Linked DNA regions of Diceros bicornis minor. The protein of the gene in region 1 purifies or fractionates together with the protein of each later gene. This does not show direct contact. Links are inferred from orthologs where the notes say so. Each region holds a gene or a part of one and is shown on either strand. Other genes may lie near its edges.

The links.
Region 2: the proteins of MTF2 (region 1) and JARID2 purify together in Homo sapiens (affinity purification with mass spectrometry; 3 studies listed by BioGRID and IntAct, with this or other methods). This does not show direct contact. The link is inferred for Diceros bicornis minor from reciprocal best matches to the Homo sapiens genes MTF2 and JARID2.

What each region holds. Positions count from the first base shown.
Region 1 is NC_080743.1:29,190,843-29,200,068, reverse strand, and holds the start of MTF2 (metal-response element-binding transcription factor 2), read right to left. Parts: upstream 3,914-9,226; 5' UTR 3,674-3,913; coding exon of another isoform or gene 3,669-3,673; intron 1-3,668. UniProt on the Homo sapiens protein: Polycomb group (PcG) protein that specifically binds histone H3 trimethylated at 'Lys-36' (H3K36me3) and recruits the PRC2 complex, thus enhancing PRC2 H3K27me3 methylation activity.
Region 2 is NC_080753.1:51,773,176-51,782,482, forward strand, and holds the start of JARID2 (protein Jumonji), read right to left. Parts: upstream 4,274-9,307; 5' UTR 4,210-4,273; intron 4,184-4,209; exon of another isoform or gene 4,164-4,183; intron 3,935-4,163; exon of another isoform or gene 3,446-3,934; 5' UTR 3,287-3,445; coding exon 3,242-3,286; intron 910-3,241; exon of another isoform or gene 891-909; intron 1-890.

The DNA.
Region 1 (9,226 bases):
TGGAGAAATTGGAACCCTCATAGTTGCTGGTGAGACTGTAAAAGGGTGCAGGCTCTTTCGAAAATGGTTTGGCAGTTCCTCAAAATGTTAAACATAGAGATATCATGACCTAGCAATTCCATTTCTAGATATGTACCCAAAAGAAATGGAAATACATGTCCACACAAACCCTATACATGAATGTCCATAGTAGCATTACTTACAACAGCCAAAAAGTGGAAACAACCCAAAAGCCCATCAACAGATGAATGGATAAACAAAATGTAGTATATCCATACAATGAAATATATTTTGGCCATAAAAAAGAAATGAAGTACTGACACGTGCCACAACATGGATATACTCTGAAAACATTATGCTAAGGGAAAGAAGCCAGACACGAAAGGCCACAAAATTGTATGACTCCATTTATATGAAATGTCCAGGACAGGCAAAATATAAACATAAAAAATACATGAGTGCTTGCCAGAGGAAGGCGGAGGGAAAAATGGAGAGGGACTGCTAACGGATACAGATTTTTATTTTGGGGTGATGAAAATGTTCTGAAATTAGATAATGGTGATGGTTGTACAACTCTGAATATACTAGAATCACTGAATTGTACCTTAAAAGGGTAAAGTACCTGTGAACTATGTACATATATAAATATATGTGCATTATATCTCAATAAATCTATTATTTAAAAAGTGTACAGTTAAGATTTGTGCATTTCAATATACGTAAATTTTACTTCAAAAAAACTTTAAAAAATAATTAAAACAATGAAGTAGACTGGGGAGTGGGTAGAGGTACAGATGAAACAAGCATGGATACAAAAAAGTTCATTATACTACTCTGTTCACTTTGTATACATTCAAAATTTTCCTTAATAAAAAGTTTTTTTACTGATCTGTAACAGTAACAAGGTAAATTTTTTTAAAAATAACAAAGTAAACTAATTTTCCTAACACCCATTTTTGTTGTTTTTTGACAAAGGAAAAAGAGTCTTAAATATTAAAAAGCCCAGAGAAATTGAGACCATTATTCTTTTGCAATGTTATATGAAAACAGAGATATGACAGAAGACATTGTGTGTGGCAAAAATGAAGAATACTTCATCTTAAAAATGTACAAAGAAAATTTCAATCTCCTTAGTTCTAAGATAGTTCCTTACCCTTTGGTTCCTGTGGTTTCCATGGTTAATGGACGTGACAATTCCTAATAAATAGATGTAATAACCTCTAATACTGTGCTGTCCAATACAGCAGCCACTAGATACATATGGCCATTTAAATTTTAGTTTTAATGAATTAAATTAAATTATAAATTCAGTTCTCAGTCTCACTAGTTACATTTCTAGCGTTCAACATCCCACATGTGGCTATTGGCTATCAAACTGGATAGACCAGATACAGATCACTGCCATCAGTGCAGAAAGTTCTATTAGATAGCACTATCCTAATACATAAAAAAAAAACACCCACAGAAACCTTTCACATTTCAATTGAGGGTTGTTATACTGTATTTTACTGCGATAAACAAATCCTGAAGAACAGGGGAAACAGAGCATAAAAAGATCAAGCAAGGAATATCATTCAAGGAAGTGTAGACTAACTAAAACAGCAGTTAAATTTTACTTTCAGAATCACCAAGCTACAGATGTCGGCCAGGGCAACTCCTCAGAGGCAAATTTCCCCATGTTAAAATAGATTATCACCATACTGTCAGTTTCCTAAGTCAGATGTAAACATTATGGTGAAATATGAATAAAGCAAACTATCCATTCAGTCAAGAATCTAATGAAAAGGTATACTTATAATCCATGACATCAAAGAGTTTATGACCCACAGCAAAATACACAGAATAAAATCCCTTTCCGAACTGAGCTTTGAGGCAAAAGGCACAATTAAAAGGATTATTAAATATATTTTATTTCATCTAAGAAAAGGTTTAACCAGATGATTTCTACACTTCTAGTTCGAAAATTGTGTGTGCATTTCATCCTGATAGGCACAGATTTCCGTTAGTACCCTTTAATGTGAATATGCAGTATCAGGAAACAGGTGCACTCAATTCAAATACTTTACAATATTTATAGCACTTCAAAAAAAAAGTGAAGGTGAGCAAATTTAAAATGTGAATTCAAATACATTTTTATATTTAGGAACCTAAAAAAACAAAAACAAAAAATTTCACCTGGTATTCTCTCTCAAAGCTATCACTGCAAATGCTTGGAGTGTGAATAACACTTCAAATATCAAGAATATAATGCTCTGTTAAGAAATTTAAAATCAATTCTTCCCTTGCCAAAACGACTGGGGACCTAAAGCTGTTAATCAAAATGGCTCCATTTAAACCATTTTCAAACCTTTGAAAGGTCACTTAAGAATTTAAGTATATTTTACTTTATCCATATTTAATAATTTTAAATTCACTGTCTTTGAAATCCACTGCCAAAAACAGGAATTGTCAAGAGAATGAAAACATGGAAATTGAAACCAGACTGTAGGCAAGGTATACAGGAGGGTCACATGGAATCAATCTGAAGGAGAAAGTTACTACTACCGGAGCATCTGGAGTCAAATTAAATCAGGCACTATTTACATATTTCTAGTTCTGTACTGACCTCACATGGCGCTTTCTTACGTTATACATAGGCCTACCTAGGTTTCCATATTTGAATTAGTAAATGGGTTATATCTTTAACCAAAGTTAAATGTTTTAAAGAATAGAATAACATTCCATATTCTTTTTCCCATTGTTCACTAACTCTCACCGATCGTCACATTATCCCGATAAATCCATCTGTTCCCTCTAGTTGCTTCCAAAGAAAAATTCTAGCCATCAAGGACACCAGATTGTAAAACGCACAGAGTTAAGAGTTCTGGCACTACCAAAATATGTTGTGTTGGCAAATTAGTTAAAATCCCTTAAACCGTAACTACATCAGTTGTAAAAATGAATACACTAATACAAATCTACATCTGAGCGGGGATATGAGTTAGATTTCATTAAATAGAAGAATTGCCTCAGATTTTTTGGTGCACTCCAAATATAAGATACCTCTCCCCCATCTCACACTGTCCCTCCCACTTCTTCCCTTTAAGCTTTCAGTGTTTGCTCCCAGGCTCCACTTAGTGTTCCCCTTATCCTCGTACTCCATTCTGCCCTTTTACTCTAATCTACCCCCATACTCCAATTCCATACAATTCCACCACCCTCCGGTTCCAAGCTGCTACTTCCCTTTGCGCCCTCTAAGGTCCCAGGCAGGCCCATCACTCTGCTCCCCACATCTCCATCAGTCCCCATTTCCTAACGGCTCCTCCTCTCGGTTCCCCACCCCCTCATCACCAGGTTCATCCTGCCCCTCCAACCGTCTCCCGCCCCCAGGTTCCTTCCTGCCCCTCCAAACACAGCTTCCCCGTCTCAAGGCTTCATCTTGTTCCTCCAAACGACTTCCCCAACGCCCTGCTCGCTCCTTTAGTCCACATTTTCTCCAACACCCAACTGACTACTCCTTTCTATCCATTCTTTTCAACATATACATAAATGCAAGACACCCACATACACAAACTGGAGCCCCCACCCCCACTTCGATCCTCCATCTTTCCCTTTTATACTTGCTTCCTTTCTTCCTCCCCCACCCACCTCCCCCGGAAGAGCCTGGTTCCCAGGCCAAGGTCTCTCACCTCATTCGGTCACTTCAGTGGTGCCAACCGCTTCATACAGGAAAAAACAACCAATAACGTCCCCGTGGGCGCTTCCCCTGCGAGTCCGAGCACTTATTGGGCACCCGCCCCACCAGGCAACCCACACATACACACGCACAAACCAAGGTCCTGGGGACGAGGGCTGGGGATAGAGTGAGCGTTCTTACACCGGCCTCAAACACAGCCCACTTCGCTACAGCCCCTCGCCATTTTGGTTTCCCGCGGACTGCCGGTGCATTCTGGGAGCGCGGAGCAACTCCGGTGCCGAATGGCAGCTCTCCAGGGCCGCGAGGGGGCGGGGACTGCGCTGCCAGCGCGGAAGAACACCGTGCCCTGCGTCCCCGGCCGAAGCTGAACAAAGAAGGACTCTTTAACTTTGCGGTGGGGCTAAGTCCTTCCGCCGCCGGCGCTAACACAATAGCGCTGCGCTCCAGACCTTTGGCTGTGCCACTGCTGACTCTCGTGAAGGAAAGCGTCGCGTCTGACTTTCACTGTGCGTATTCTTTTCCTGAGAAATGGGACGGTGCTCTCTACCTCTTGCCGTTCCGATTTCCTTTCCGTGGAGAAAACCTCAGATAAAGCACGTTTCTTCTATCTTCACGCTGAGGCCTGCTGTTCGAATTTCCTTCAGCGGGGAGGAGACCCTGAATGTCAGAATTAAATTGTGTTCGGCGATTATTGTCCAGCCCCAAATTCCTTCTTAGCAGCAGCTGCTTATATAGAAGATTTTCGGACTTTTTTCCCCTGACGATGAAAGGTTTTTCTGTTTATCTTCCTTGCAGATCCTCCCTAATTGTGATGAAATCTGAGAATAATTCCGTGCAAAGTGGTTTCTTTTCGGAATACAGAACTTTTTCATCCGAGGGCAGACCCTTAGCCTGCCAATATTCTGCTGCCCACAGGGGCCTCAGGTGACAGCCTGAGAGTGCATGCTTGTCTCTTTGACTTGTGCTTCGATACAACCCAGCTCCTCTTAGTAGCCACCTGTGGTACCTTTGTTTGTAACTTTGTCAAAATATTTTAAAAATCATTTTATACTTTTGTCTCGTATTACATCACCGGGATAATTAATACCATGTTTTCTCTCGCGCTGAAAAAGTACCTCTTGTGGCCTAAACTCACTTTGCTCATATTTCCAAGGGGGTTCCCTCAGCCTGTGATCTCAGAATTAGGTCAATAAACATATTCATTTTATCCACATCCTTCAATATTTTAACTATTTTAGTCATACCTTTCCACTGCTTTGCTTCTCCTGGCTAATAGTCCTAATCGGATTTTAAATCTGTCTTAACTATAGCCTCACTCTATCTGCTACTTTTCAAGTTTCACTTTCTGTGACTTCTATTATAACATAGTTTCTCATAAATTCGTCCTCAATGCCCTTCACACTTTTGGTTGAGGAGAGTTTTGACTTAAAAAAATAGGTGCAGGCCAAAAATGGATACAAACATTATGCAACCAGGTATTTTTCCTGTGTTGCTAAGCCTAATCACAGAACATCAGTTTGGGAGAACGTTTGGTCTGAGTTCTCCTCAGTGTTTCTCTCAAGCGATCATCAAGCCTCAACTTCAACATCTTCAGTGGTTCAGTACCTCAGAAACAGTCATTTCAATTTCCGAAACACTAATAATTAGAAAATTCTTCTTTATATAGATGTACAATCTGCCTTCCGATAATTTTCACTTACTGGTCTAACTTTTTGGCCTCTGTAGCCACAAGAAGTATTCTAATCCGTTATACATTAGAGAAGTGAATGATGCCTGTCTATTTAAAAAAAAAAAAACTTATTCTGTGTGAACATATGAGTGCAAAAGTGCAATCATTTAATTTAAGGAAACCAGATGCTCAGAGAATCAAGGGCACTGAGGGAGTCACAGTAAAATGCAAAGAAAGCCTATAGCTGTGGTCTTAGAAATTTCTGTTAACTATGCAACATGCAATGGATTAGGACTTTAAGAAGAGACAAATATCAGCAAGTGCCTCAGAAGTACAAAGCAAAGTAACTCCAGTCAGAGTAAACTGTGCCATTTATTGTTGTTGTTATTTATTTCTGTGACAGTCATTTGGGTTGTTTACAAAAATTCTGGTTCTCCTCTCTTCCAGACACATAGTAGAATTTCACCCTCTTGCACCCTTGAAGTTAGGCATGGCCATGTAACTTGTTTTTGCCAATAAAATGAGAGGGGGAGCGATGTGTATCACTTCCTAGGAAAATCTTTAAGAGGCAGAGGCACATTCCCCTCCTCCCTGCTGTGGTGATCATGGAAGCATGTGTGAGATAGAACATCTGTCATTTTGTGTCCCTAAATGACTACAATAAGCAGAGACTAGAGTTGTGCAACCATCACCACAACCAGTTTTAGAACATTTCCACCATCCCAAAAATACTTGTGCCCATTTGCAATCAGTCCCTGTTCCCATTCCCAGTCCCAGGCAGTCTGCTATCCGTCTATAGATTTGCCTTTTCTGGCCATTTTGTATAAATGGACTCATACTATATGTGGTCTTTTAGTCTAGCTTCTTTCACTCAGCACAGTATTGTTGAGGTTCATACATGTTGTACGATGTGTCAGTAGTTCTTTACTTTATGTTGCTGAAGAGTACTCCATTGTATGGATGTACTGTATTTTGTTTCCATTCACCACTTGATGCACATTTGGATTGTTTTCAATTTTTGGCTATTATGAATAATGCTGCTATGAACATTTGTGTACAAGTCTTTGTGTAGATATTTGTTTTTATTTTTCTTGGGTAGATTCCTAGAAGTGGAATTACTGTGTTGTACGGTAAGTTTATGTTTAACTTTATAAGATACTGCAAAACTATTTTCCAAGGTACAAGCAATGTGTGAGGGTTCTGATTTCTTCACATCCTCACCAATACTTGTTATTGTCTATCTTTTGATTTTTCCCACTCCAGTGGGAGTGAAGTGGTTTCAATTTGTATTTGCCTAATGACAAATGATGTTGAGCATCTTTTCATGTGCTTATTAGCCATTCTTATATCTTCTATGGTGAAGCGTCTATTCAGATCTTTTACCCATTTTTTAACTGGGCTGTTTGTCTTCTTATTATCAAGTTATAAGAGGTCTTTATATATCCTGGTTACAAGTCTTTATCAGACACACGGTTTGCAAATATTTTCTCCCAGTCTATGGCTTCTCTTTTCATTCTTTAATGGAGTCTTTTGAAGTACAAAAAGTTTTTTAATTTTGATGAAATCCAATTTGTCTTTTTTTTAGTGCCATATGCTTTTGATGTTATATCTAAGAACTCTTTGTCTGACCCAAGATCACAAAGATTTTCTATTATGTTTTCTTCTATAAGTTTTATAGGGTTAGCTCTTACGTTTAAGTCTGTGATCCATTTTGAGTTCATTTTTGTGTACACTGTGAGGTATAGTCTGTATTCATCTTTTTGCATGTGGATATTCAATTGGAGAAATAAACTTCTGTTGTGTTAAGCCACTGCAATTTGTAGTTGTCTGCTTCCCAGCATATTTTAGTCTACTGTGATACAATCTAGATGTGTTCATATGTAACAGAACTCAGTAATAGCATTGAACTCCCTACCATAATCAGAACCAAAAATGAAAATTTGAGCAAAATATTCAAAACATTAGGTAATTCTCAAAATGTATCATTGAAAAGTCACAGGGAATGTTATAAAATACTATATTTATAGACCTGCAAGCTCCCAATTATTAGCTATTACTCTCTTGTGGGAAAGGGCTAGAAGGCTTTTAACCTTGTTCATTGTGCCGAGATAGAAATACAAATAATTAGACAAGTCATAGAGGTCAAAGAAGGACATTCTGTGTTCTTACAGAGTTTGCTTTCCTTGGTCTGAAAAGGGAAATCTGAAACATCAAAAGAAAAATGAATGTTTCCACAATAATCAAAAGGATTTTTTAAAATTCCTTTCCTGGGCCGGACCCGTGGCTTAGTGGTTAAGCGCGCGCGCTCCTCTCCTGGCGGCCCGGGTTCGGATCCCGGGCGCGCACCGACGCACCGCTTCTCCGGCCATGCTGAGGCCGCGTCCCACGTACATTAACTAGAAGGATGTGCAACTATGACATACAACTATCTACTGGGGCTTTGGGAGGAAAATAAATAAATAAAATCTTTAAAATTCCTTTCCTTTTTATCCAAAACTTAAGTGGCTATATATAACATGAACACTGCTTTTAAACTCAGTAATTTGTTATAAAAGTATTTATAGCAAATTTAGACTCCTTGTATAATACATCTTAAAATATAATGTGCCCATTATCAATTTATTGCCCATCATTTCCAAATTCACCCTTCATTACTTGCATTGTGAAAATGGATATGAGCCTTTTAAAAGCACATGCACCTTCCTCAGTCTTTTCAAATCATCTTCCCCGTACCCCAACCCCAGAAGACTTTGCGTGTGCTGTCACCAGGTGATATTGTTGCTGTCTTGGCAGTCAAAAATTTAAGGTGAGTGATTGAAAAGTATGTGTGCAGTCAAAACAAATCACTCAATTAAGAGTCACAAGGTAGCGGTTAAGTGCACGCGCTCCGCTCCTGGCAGCCCGGGTTCGGATCCCGGGTGCGCACCGACACACCGCTTATCTGGCCATGCTGAGGTGGCGTCCCACATACAGCAACTAGAAGGATGTGCAACTATGACATACAACTACCTACTGGGGCTTTGGGGAGAAAAAGGGGAAAAAAGGAGGAGGATTGGCAATAGATGTTAGCTCAGGGCCTGTCTTCCTCAGCAAAAAAAAGAGGAGGATCGGCATGGATGTTAGCTCAGGGCTGATCTTCCTCACAAAAAAAAAAAAAAGAGTCACAAGAGCTAGGTTCCAATTCCCATCTCTGCATACCCGGCTTATGACACAAGTTTTTGAAAATTAAATCACCAAAATTTGATTTTTGCAGGGAGGAGATGAGAGAAAGAGAGAATTATCCAATAGAAAAAAAGATAAACCTACTTATCTGCTTCACACTGCTAATTTGTACAGTGAGCATTTAAAGATGCGAACAAGGTAAGAGCAAGAGCGTGAGATGAGAGGCAGAGTAGCAGATGCAGGAACCCTGGAGGACAGAGCACCTCAGTTGCTGTCCAGCCTCTGCCACTTCATTAGCTAAATGATCTTGGGCAAGTTTCCTAAACTCTCACAGCCTGAGCTTCTTTGTGGGCTCAATGGGGCTAATGTTGATGAGAATATCAACATTAAAGCTTTATCATATGGACTAAATGAAATAATATGTGTAAAAGTGCTTTATTTTTTCCCTTACAGCAGTTATTACATGTCTGACTTTCCTGATTCAACTGCAAGCTCCTTGAGGGTAGGAGCTCTTCTTTATATCCCTGTTCCTGGAAACACATCTGGACCACAGAGCAGCCCTTATATAAATAAATTTTAAAATGATGTTCATTTATTTAATAATATTAAATATGTTCTATATGTGAAGAACTGTGCTGTATACTGTTCAGGACAGGATACAAGCATTAATAATACATATCCATGGGGCTGGCCTGGTGGTGTAGCGGTTAAGTTCACAC
Region 2 (9,307 bases), on another chromosome or scaffold:
TAATGGGAGTCGTACCCAGCACAATTAAGACAGGATTACGTTGCAATTTATGAGTTTCTCCAGGATGTCATTTAATATGAAATACAACAATCATGTCTCCCAAAGCCTGCCATCTACAATCGCAGCCCCAAACTTGCTTTGCTAAGGCAATAAACTAAATGGCAACGCGGCAGGCATCTAAGGCTTTTGAGACCAATTGTAGGAAATGTGCTGCCTTCCACCAGCTCAAGTAATAACGCCACCCCTTACACAGAAAGAGCATACGGTTTTACATCTTTCACGCAGGTTATCTCACACACATAATCTTCTCACATAAAGTGAAGTAACAAAGGCAGGTACTACTTTTTCCATTTTACAGAAGAGTAAATAGACTGAGACTGCGAGCCTCTTGTTCAGAACAACTAAGCCCAGAACACCTTCAGACTTCAGTGCTCTCCTATTAATGACAAGTCTTCCCTCGTCTGGCTCCCCAAGATACTCAATAGGCATATAGAGCTGGCACAGCGAAGGAGCGCCACTCGCCTCCGTGGTATTGCAAGGCTTTCAGAAAGAGCAACAGTTTCTACTGTGCAGCATCACCCAGAAAAGCATCCGGCCACATTCTGCAAAGACACCCCAAACACGACTTAAAGTGACAAGGTGGCCAAATCTACAACATGGTGCTCCTACAGAGCAAGGCTTTCCCTGAATGAAGTTTCCTGGCTTTTCCAAAGCGTTGGTGAGCAAACACAACTACCACAGTGGTAACGCCACCCCATCAGCAGACCTGGAAACAGAGGAATCATTTCTGCAGAAAGAAGGCGTCTCCTCCTGCTCCCCTCCATCCACTAAATGGAATCAGAACTGGGTCGGGGGCACTCCCGTGGGGACCAAGGGCTCCCCGCTCTCACCTGGAGGGAAGCGCAGCGTTTCGGGGCGGAAGGCAGAGACCGATGGCATCCTCCTCCCCTTCTTCCTCCTCCCACGCGGCAGCCCCGCTCCGCCGCAACCCCCGCCTCCTCCCCACTCCCTCCTCCCCCGGCCGCCCCGCCGCTCTGGAACCTCCCGCCCGACTTTTGACGTCACGGAGGAGGAGGAGAAGGTTCCACCCGGGCCCTTCCCTTTGTGACGTCACAATGACAACAGAACGCGGCCGGGAGCGTCCGGGAACCCGGAGCGGCGGGGGGCGGAGGGCGGGGAGGCCGGCGCCAGGCGGGGGAGGAACCGGGGGGCGGGGAGGGGGCGCGCTGACGTCTCGCCGGCTTAACCTGTTGCTCTCGGGACCGCACTGGAGCCGCGGGCAGGGCCGCGGGGAGCCGGCCGGGCCGCCGCCGCCATGCTCGGCTGTGCGCGCGGTGGGGGGCGCCCGCTGCAGCTGTGCGCCGCGCCGCCCCCCGGCACGCCCCCGCCCCGCGCCGCTCCCCTCCCCCGGGCCCAGCGGGCCGCGCCGCCCCGCGCCCCACCCACCCGCAGCCGGCCGGCGCCCGGAGCCCGGAGCCCGGAGCCCGAGCCGAGCCGGAGCCCGCAGCCCGCCCCCTACAGGCCGCGCGCGCGCCCGCCCAACCCGGCCCAGCCCGCCGCGACCCCCGCGCGCCCTCCCCGCCGCAGCCCGCGCGAGCACGTCGGGAACACGGGCTCCGCTCCCCCAGCGGTAACTCGTGCTCTGCCTCCCGCGGCCGCCGCCGGCCCCGGGCTTGCGGCCGGACGCCCGGACTCGACACCATCCGCTGACCACCGGCAACAAAAAATCCCACCCCACACCGCTCTCCAACTCGGCGAGGTCTGGGATGGCGTGGGGTGGGGGGGAGGAGTGGAGAGAGCGGTTCTTGTCCAAGTTCTAGCCCATCTGCTTTGTGGCTGCACCCGAATCGGACGTGCCCCGGGAAGGCGTCCACGCTCCCAGGCAAGATTGTCTCCATGCAGTTTCTACAGCCCGAGTTTAAACTCGTCCTTTGCATTCTACCCAGTCCTCTGCAATGCGGATGTATTTTAATTCTAAATTCTTTAGGGTACAGCTTTTTAAGTTGGGCTCGATTATTTAACCTTGCATTTCTTTCATAGTTGAACTTTACGTGTCTAGATTAGGATCAGCCCTCCAGAAGAGGCATTCAGCTTTTCCATTAAATGTATTTTTTACAAAACCAATGCCCCGAAGGTCATCTCCCATTACCCACATCACATTGCTCAAAAAGGGAAAATATGAACACCAATTTGTTGACTCGAGTTAAATAAAACTTTCTTATAACGTTCTATTATTTCCTAATGTATGTTCATTTGGCCTTTTTTTGAAAAAATGGGTTCTCTGATTTAAAGCACGCAGCTAATCACGGATCACTCGAGTGCATATTTGGTTAATCCCTCGGTCCCCCTCTTCCCTCCCTCCCCCCAAACTTAAAAAAAAAAGCCACCACACACAAAACAAAAACACTCCCCATGCCAATCAAAACGTAGCTGTACTATGCACAAAACAAATTTAACTATTCCAAACCATTTAAATCTCTGAATAATCACCCAATTTCAGAGTGATTCAAAGCCCAGTGATTCAAAGCCCAGTGAACAGAGAGAAATTTGTAGTCACTTACATATGCATTCACATATCTACTTAAAAACATTAGCTATATTGTATGTCTTTTTCCCCTAAAACTGGAAACCATGAATTTTTAAACAAAACCAGTCCCATTATTAAAGTCAATCCCAACAAATGCATTCGCTGTAACATGATTCCCAACTGGTTTATGCTGCGAACCAGATAAGCCAAAACGACCACATACATTAAATTTGATGTGCCAGTGCAAGGAACGAGATCGCCATAATCGGACCCTCGATTGCAACTTAAAGGGCTTCCAACACACCCGCGTTACACGATTTTCCAAATAACATTAATAATAATAACACAGGCTCATTTGCATGCAAAGTGCAATATGGGGCCAAATCCGCCTGAGAATGCAGTTTAGTTACATTACCGCAGCCCCCAGCCCCCCCAAGCTCCACCAAAATCCCTTGCCTTTCATCTAAAACTAGATTATGGTTGTGTCATTCGAGGTCAATATATTCACTTGAGGTATCGCTACACCAATATGTTTTTTCATCCAAACTAGGCAGACACGACTTTGCCTGAAAAGCCCTCTTTCAGAAAAGAAAGAAACAGCCTTATCGGACGCTGTGTTTAAAACCCTTCAGCTGCAGAATTATCTATAAACTTGACATTCACAGCCATTGCTTAAAACTGCAAGTCAAAGGATGTGTTGTTACGAGCACTTACGTATTTCTTCTGAATGATATTCCTCTTGGGTCTTTCCTTGCTCATTCTGAGATCCAAATGCTGATTGCAAAAGGGGACAATTGCTTCATGAATTTAAAGCCGTCAGAAATTTGCAAAAAAATATCCTGGTGGTTTTTATTGTTGTTGGTGGTGGTTGATCTTGTAATCCGACTTTTCTTCCTCTTCCCCCAAAGCCCGATTCGCCTTAAAATAAATCCGAAATTGGGAAGGAAAAAAAAAAGAGCCAAAGACGAACGAAGCAAACAACAAAAAAAAATTCACTTTAGTAAAACACTCATAATGGAAAATTTCCCCCGAAACACACACACAAAAAAAACCGACGCCCTTCACTCCCCCCCTTTTTCCTCCAAAAACTACATCAGCGAAACGTGAAGGTCCTTAGTGTCTGATCTGTAGTTACATCTTGGAAAAGAAAAGGGAAAGATAAATAAAAAATGTTGGAAGTCACGTTTGTGCTGCAGCAGCAGTGCGAGCAGAAGAGTCAACTCCAGCGGCGGCGGCGGCGGCGGCAGCACCACAGCGAGGGCTCGCCGAGTCTCTTTTTTCCAAGCCCCCTAACCAATGAGAGAGAGGCTATCCAGCCCAACTTTAAATGGACTCTGCTTTTATACAAGTTAGGGCTCCTCGAGTAATTCCCCGCCGGACGCTAGCCGAAAACTCCCACAGCTGAGCCACCAGGCGCCCGCCTAGCCCGGCGACGACCGCCCCTGGCCCAGTACTGAGGATCCCCGCAGCCCCGTCGACTAGACACCCGAGAAGCCTCGACGAACCCTTCCCAGACAAGCCCTCAGGCATCGCTCCCACGCCGAGCCTAGGAGTGGAATTGAGAGAGGCTCCCTAGCTCAATGCATGGCACGCTCGGTCGCTCCACCTCACCCCCTTTCCCCAGCTTGCCGCTCACCCCACAGCCGCCACACGCTGGCCCCCGCCACTGCCCTGGCGTCTACCTGCAGCCGGGCTGCTGGGTACGAGTGCCCCAGGACGCCCGGCCTGGGGGAGGGCCGCCTATTCCCGGGGCACCTTAGAATGGTCCCCTTGATCTTCTGGAAGTTGTAGTCCCCCGACTACAAAATGGCTATGGCCACGGGAGCTGGGAACTACAATTCCCAGCCTGCCCCGCAAGCCTGTCACTCAACTCCCCTCCCTCCTCCTCTCCCCCTCCCCCTCCCCGGCCCTGCCAGCAAACGCTTGGACGTGTCCCGCGTGCGACACTGCTAGAGGCTGGCTCGGGATTGGCCCGCAGAGCGTGTGGTCCGCGAGCGAGGAACTCCCCACGCCGGCCCGCCCCCGCCCCCCAGCCGCGGCCCCCCTCCTTCCGCGGCGGCCGGCCCCCTCCCCGCGCGCCCCGCCCCCACCCGCGGCGCGAACCGCCTGTGGAATCGAGGAATCGCGCGCGCGCCGGCCCGAGCCGAGCGGCGGGGGAGGGACGCGAGGCTTCCCGGGGGAAGGCCTCGGAGCGTGGCGGCGCGGGGGGCGGTGTCAGCGAGGGGTTGGAGCCCGTCCTAAGGAAAACTGGGCCACGCACCAAGAGGAATCCTCGGTGCGAACTAGTTGATCGGCGGCGCCTGCTGCCTCTGCTGCGCAGCCGGTGTCACCTCAGGACAGCGCCTCGCGTATTCGCACGGAGCGCGCCGCGGTCGGGCTCGGGGTGGTCTGAGGTCACCTCTGCCCGCGCCCCACGGCCGCACGCGCGGGGCGGCCGGCTGGGCCGTGCGGAAAGGCCACCTCCGGGCGCGGCACGCGGCACGCGGCCCGGCGGGCGAGGACTGCGCGGGGGTGGCCAGAAAGGGCACCTCGGGCGGCTGCCTCCCACAAAAGACAACCGCCCTGAACGAGATGAGCACGATCTTTGCCTTTCCTGGCGTATTTCGCGTCTGGGGTGCCCATGAGCGAGACCGAAACGTGGAGGTGGAAATGGGTGGAATATGGAGACCGAGCCACCCAGACAGGCAAACTGTAAGGAAGCATCTGGAACGCCGAGTGCCAGGACTATCAGCTGCGGTAGCCACGCGAGAGCCTGCTTCTTACCTGCCTCTGCCCCCTGTTGTGGTTGTCTAATCGCTGATATAAATGAAGTAGCAGCCCCGGGTGTATCTCTTCGGGCTTTCGCCGTATTAACAACTTTGTCAAGTCTCACGTAGCCATTCTGCATTGTTAATTTCCTTGTTTTGGAGAAGTGATGTCTTAAATGACCTCCTCTCAGGCTAGCCTCTGAATAAATGAAAAGTGGCGTCAGTGCCCCCTCATCCTCATCCCTATCCATTTTATTTTCCTGCCTATTTCTAAGATTCTCCTTGCCTTGAAAGGTATAAATACTCCGGTAACACCATTGTTAGATTTTATTTGCAGTGCTGTTGGAAGGGATAACCACGGTCGAGAACGGGCTCAGAAACTGGGGGTAGGAGACTTATATTCAAATTACACCTTAGCCACTTGCTTAAAGGTAACTGATGGCTTTCCTGAGCTTGTCAGTTTCCTCATCTACAAATTAGTGATGACCAAGACGTTAACCCCGCTAAGAACCAGACACGTTATTGGAAGCTTTCAGGAAATGAAATTAAGTGCTTTTTCTAAAGGCTTTTTAATTATGACTTTACCTTTTTAAAAAATCTGAACGCTTTGTAAAATGAAATCCTTTTGTCTTATGTTCATTTCACGATCAGAAAAATAAATGACCTTCTGTCCCTTGATATTACAAAACTTGTTGGCTGGTGCCATTGGCTGGGAAGGACTCCCTAGAACAGACTCCACTTTTCAGGATTGGCCACCCAAGTGACTTTATGGTTAGGTTACAACGAGGTGTTTTCAGAAGACTTTCTGAGGTCTCCACTTCTCCACACTGTTATGGTTTAACCAGCTTTCTGGAGGTTTAATGTCAGATCTGTCATTGCCCAGGTAAAATATTAAAGAACAAAGGTGGGTTTCTTCTTGGTTCCCTTAGCTAGCCCGGAGGCTGGGCTTCTCGTCCCGGGCCTGTGAACTCCCCTGCTGGGCTACCAGCTCCAGGTCGCCGCGTACTAAAGACCATTCTCCTAGTGGAGGCTTGAGGGCAGGGGAAAGGAAGGAATTTGCTCATTTCCAAAAGATTTGGATAACATTAGTGTTGTTTTCCCTGAAAAGGAAAATAGATTGGCCTTTTTAGCAGTTGAAGTCCTTTCCTGTTGTGGAAGTAACTGTCTCCTGATGAACATCCTTTCCCTGTCATCTTGGCAAGGCCATATATTACCTTTCCTTTCTTTTTCCTCCTCTTTTTCGTTTTCTGTAAGTCTAATTCACTCTCTCTCCTGATGATTTTAACTCCTCACAGTTCTCCTTTTGACCCCTTCAAGTCTGGAGTTCAGGGGTGGGTGGACCTCACTAGGTACATTTCTTCTAAAGGACGTTATGTGCCAGCACTAAAAGTCTGAAAGTCCTTTGTTAAGAAACACACAGCTCAGTAGAAAAGGCAGATTTAACAATCGATTGTGATACCTCTAAAAAGCGCTGTATTAGCAATATGGAAAAGGAGCTAAAGGGAACGCACAGCTGAAGTGACCAGGAATTAGGAAGTTTTGAAGGATGAGTAGGGAGTTCAGCAGTTTGAAATAAGCCAAGCAACTTTACAGCATGAAAAAAAATCATGAGGGGCTGGTCTGGTGGCACAGCAGTTAAGTTTGAGCATTCTGCTTTGGCGGCCCTGGGTTTGCTGGTTCGGATCCTGGGTGTGGACCTACTCACCGCTCATCAAGCCACGCTGAGGCGGCGTCCCATTTAGAAGAACTAGCAGGACCTACAACTAGGATATACAATTACATACTGGGGGCTTTGAGGAGGAAAAAAAAAAAAAAAAAGGAAAATTGGCAAATGGATGTTAGCTCAGGGCCAATCTTCCTCAAAAAAAAAAAAAAAAATACCACACTTATGGATGGGAGTCAATTTTTGTTTGGCAGTGACCAAAGATGAGACTGAGAGGTAAGCAGGAGCCAGGACCAGAAAGGTTCTGTATGCCAGACAAAGAGTTTGGACTTTGCCTGTAGTCTAAAAAGAAACTTAGGAGGATTTTTACTGGAGGTAGAAAGCAGATTTGCATTTTTGAAAAGTAATTCTGATTGTGTGAGAGATGAAATTGAGGATTGAAGAAGAGAGAGAGGGGCCGGCCCGGTGGCGCAAGCGGTTAAGTGCGCGCGCTCCGCTGCGGCGGCCCGGGGTTCGCTGGTTCGGATCCCGGGCGCGCACCGACGCACTGCTTGGTAAGCCATGCTGTGGCGGCGTCCCATATAAAGTGGAGGAAGATGGGCACGGATGTTAGCCCAGGGCCGTCTTCCTCAGCAAAAAAAGAGGAGGATTGGCGGATGTTAGCTCAGGGCTGATCTCCTCACAAAAAAAAAAAAAAAAAAAAAAAAAAATATATGAAGAAGAGAGAGAGACTGGGGGCAGGAAGACCTAGAAACCAGTTGCAATGTTATTGCATAAATGAGGTAAGAAATGGTTAAAATCTGAATCCAGTGGCAGAGGAAATACAGAGCAGAGAACAGGTTGAGAATGTTATTTAGAATGTCAAAAGTCCGTGGGGCTTGGGAACTGGTTAGCTGGAAGGAATGGTGACTAGCAGGGTAGAGTCTAAAATGATTCCTTAATCTTACCTTTTATGCTCTTTTAATTAGATCCATTATCCACTCTAGGAAGAATGGGAACATGATAGAGGTAAAAGAGGAAGAAGTAACAAATCATCAGACACAAATAAGAGCAGGCCTTCTCTATTCTGGGTTCAAATCTGTATGGGCAATCATAATTAATGAAGCATTCTAGTCCACCGTTTGATTTACTATAAAAAATGACAGAGAAAAAATTAATTAGTTAATAAAGATCAAGTACAGAGGAATAAATCCATAGTCCTATAGTATATGCATATTGAAATTCCCCTCTTAATGCAGGGGATGACAGGTTATTCCACGTGCTTCCAGACTCCAATCACATCCATGGTTCTCCTAAGGGATAACTCAAGATTCATCTTCTCCAAAAATCCTTCCTTATTTCACATATTTCACCCCTTTGCATTGTATACTGACTTTTGCTTACATTCTCCAATTTTTCTCATGTTCCCATCTCTTCTCTCCAAATACAAAAATAAGCTTTCTAAAGTCAGAGACCATGTTGTCTACTTCTCATGTCCTCCCCAAAGCTTCAGAAACTTCATCGATTTTGGAAGTGTCCAGTAAATGCTTACTGTTGAATGTTTCACCAAAACTGTGATGCCTGATTATTCAGACTACTGCCAGCCATTTAGTCTGTTGCTGTCATGCCCAGTTCCATCTTGGAGCGCTGCTGTTTCTCGTCTTAGAGTACCCACATCCAGCACAGTGCGGTGCATGCTTCCAGGCCCCAGTTCCGGTCCTGTCTCCGGTTCAGCCTGACTGCTTGGCTGCCTCATTTCTCGATTCTCATTGCCCCTGTTACTTCAGCCACATTTCAAGAGAAAAAAAAATTGCATATATTTAAGATACACAACATGATGTTTTGATATGCATATTCGTTTTGAAATGACTACTACAGTCCAGCTAATTAACATGTCCATCACCTTACATAGTTACCATCAGCCACATTTTTTGAGCTTTAAAATTGTATTCCATGTTGCCTTGTTTTCTGATTATGCCATTTGTATATCTGTCCTTCCTAAGTAGATTGAAAATTTCACGGGGCCGTGATTTGTCTTATATTGAGGCAGCCTTTGGCTATGAGGCCAATCACTGGATGGGAATCAGATGTCTCTAATATTAACCTTCTGAGTGACCGTAAACCATTTATTTGGCCCCACTGGGCCTCAGCTTCAGCATCTATAGATAGGTTAAATTCAATTATCACCAAAGACATTTCTGGATCCAACGTGCTCTAATCCTACTTTGACCTTTGCAGTACTGTGCTTCCTGGTTCCCCTTTCAGTTCTGGCCCCTAAGTAGATTTAAATACACAATTGTTGAGTAAGGGTTGCTAGGGCAAGTGTCTTTATGCTCGTACATTATTAGTTTCCTAATGTAACCTTCTATTTCTCTGTGATATCTAATGGTA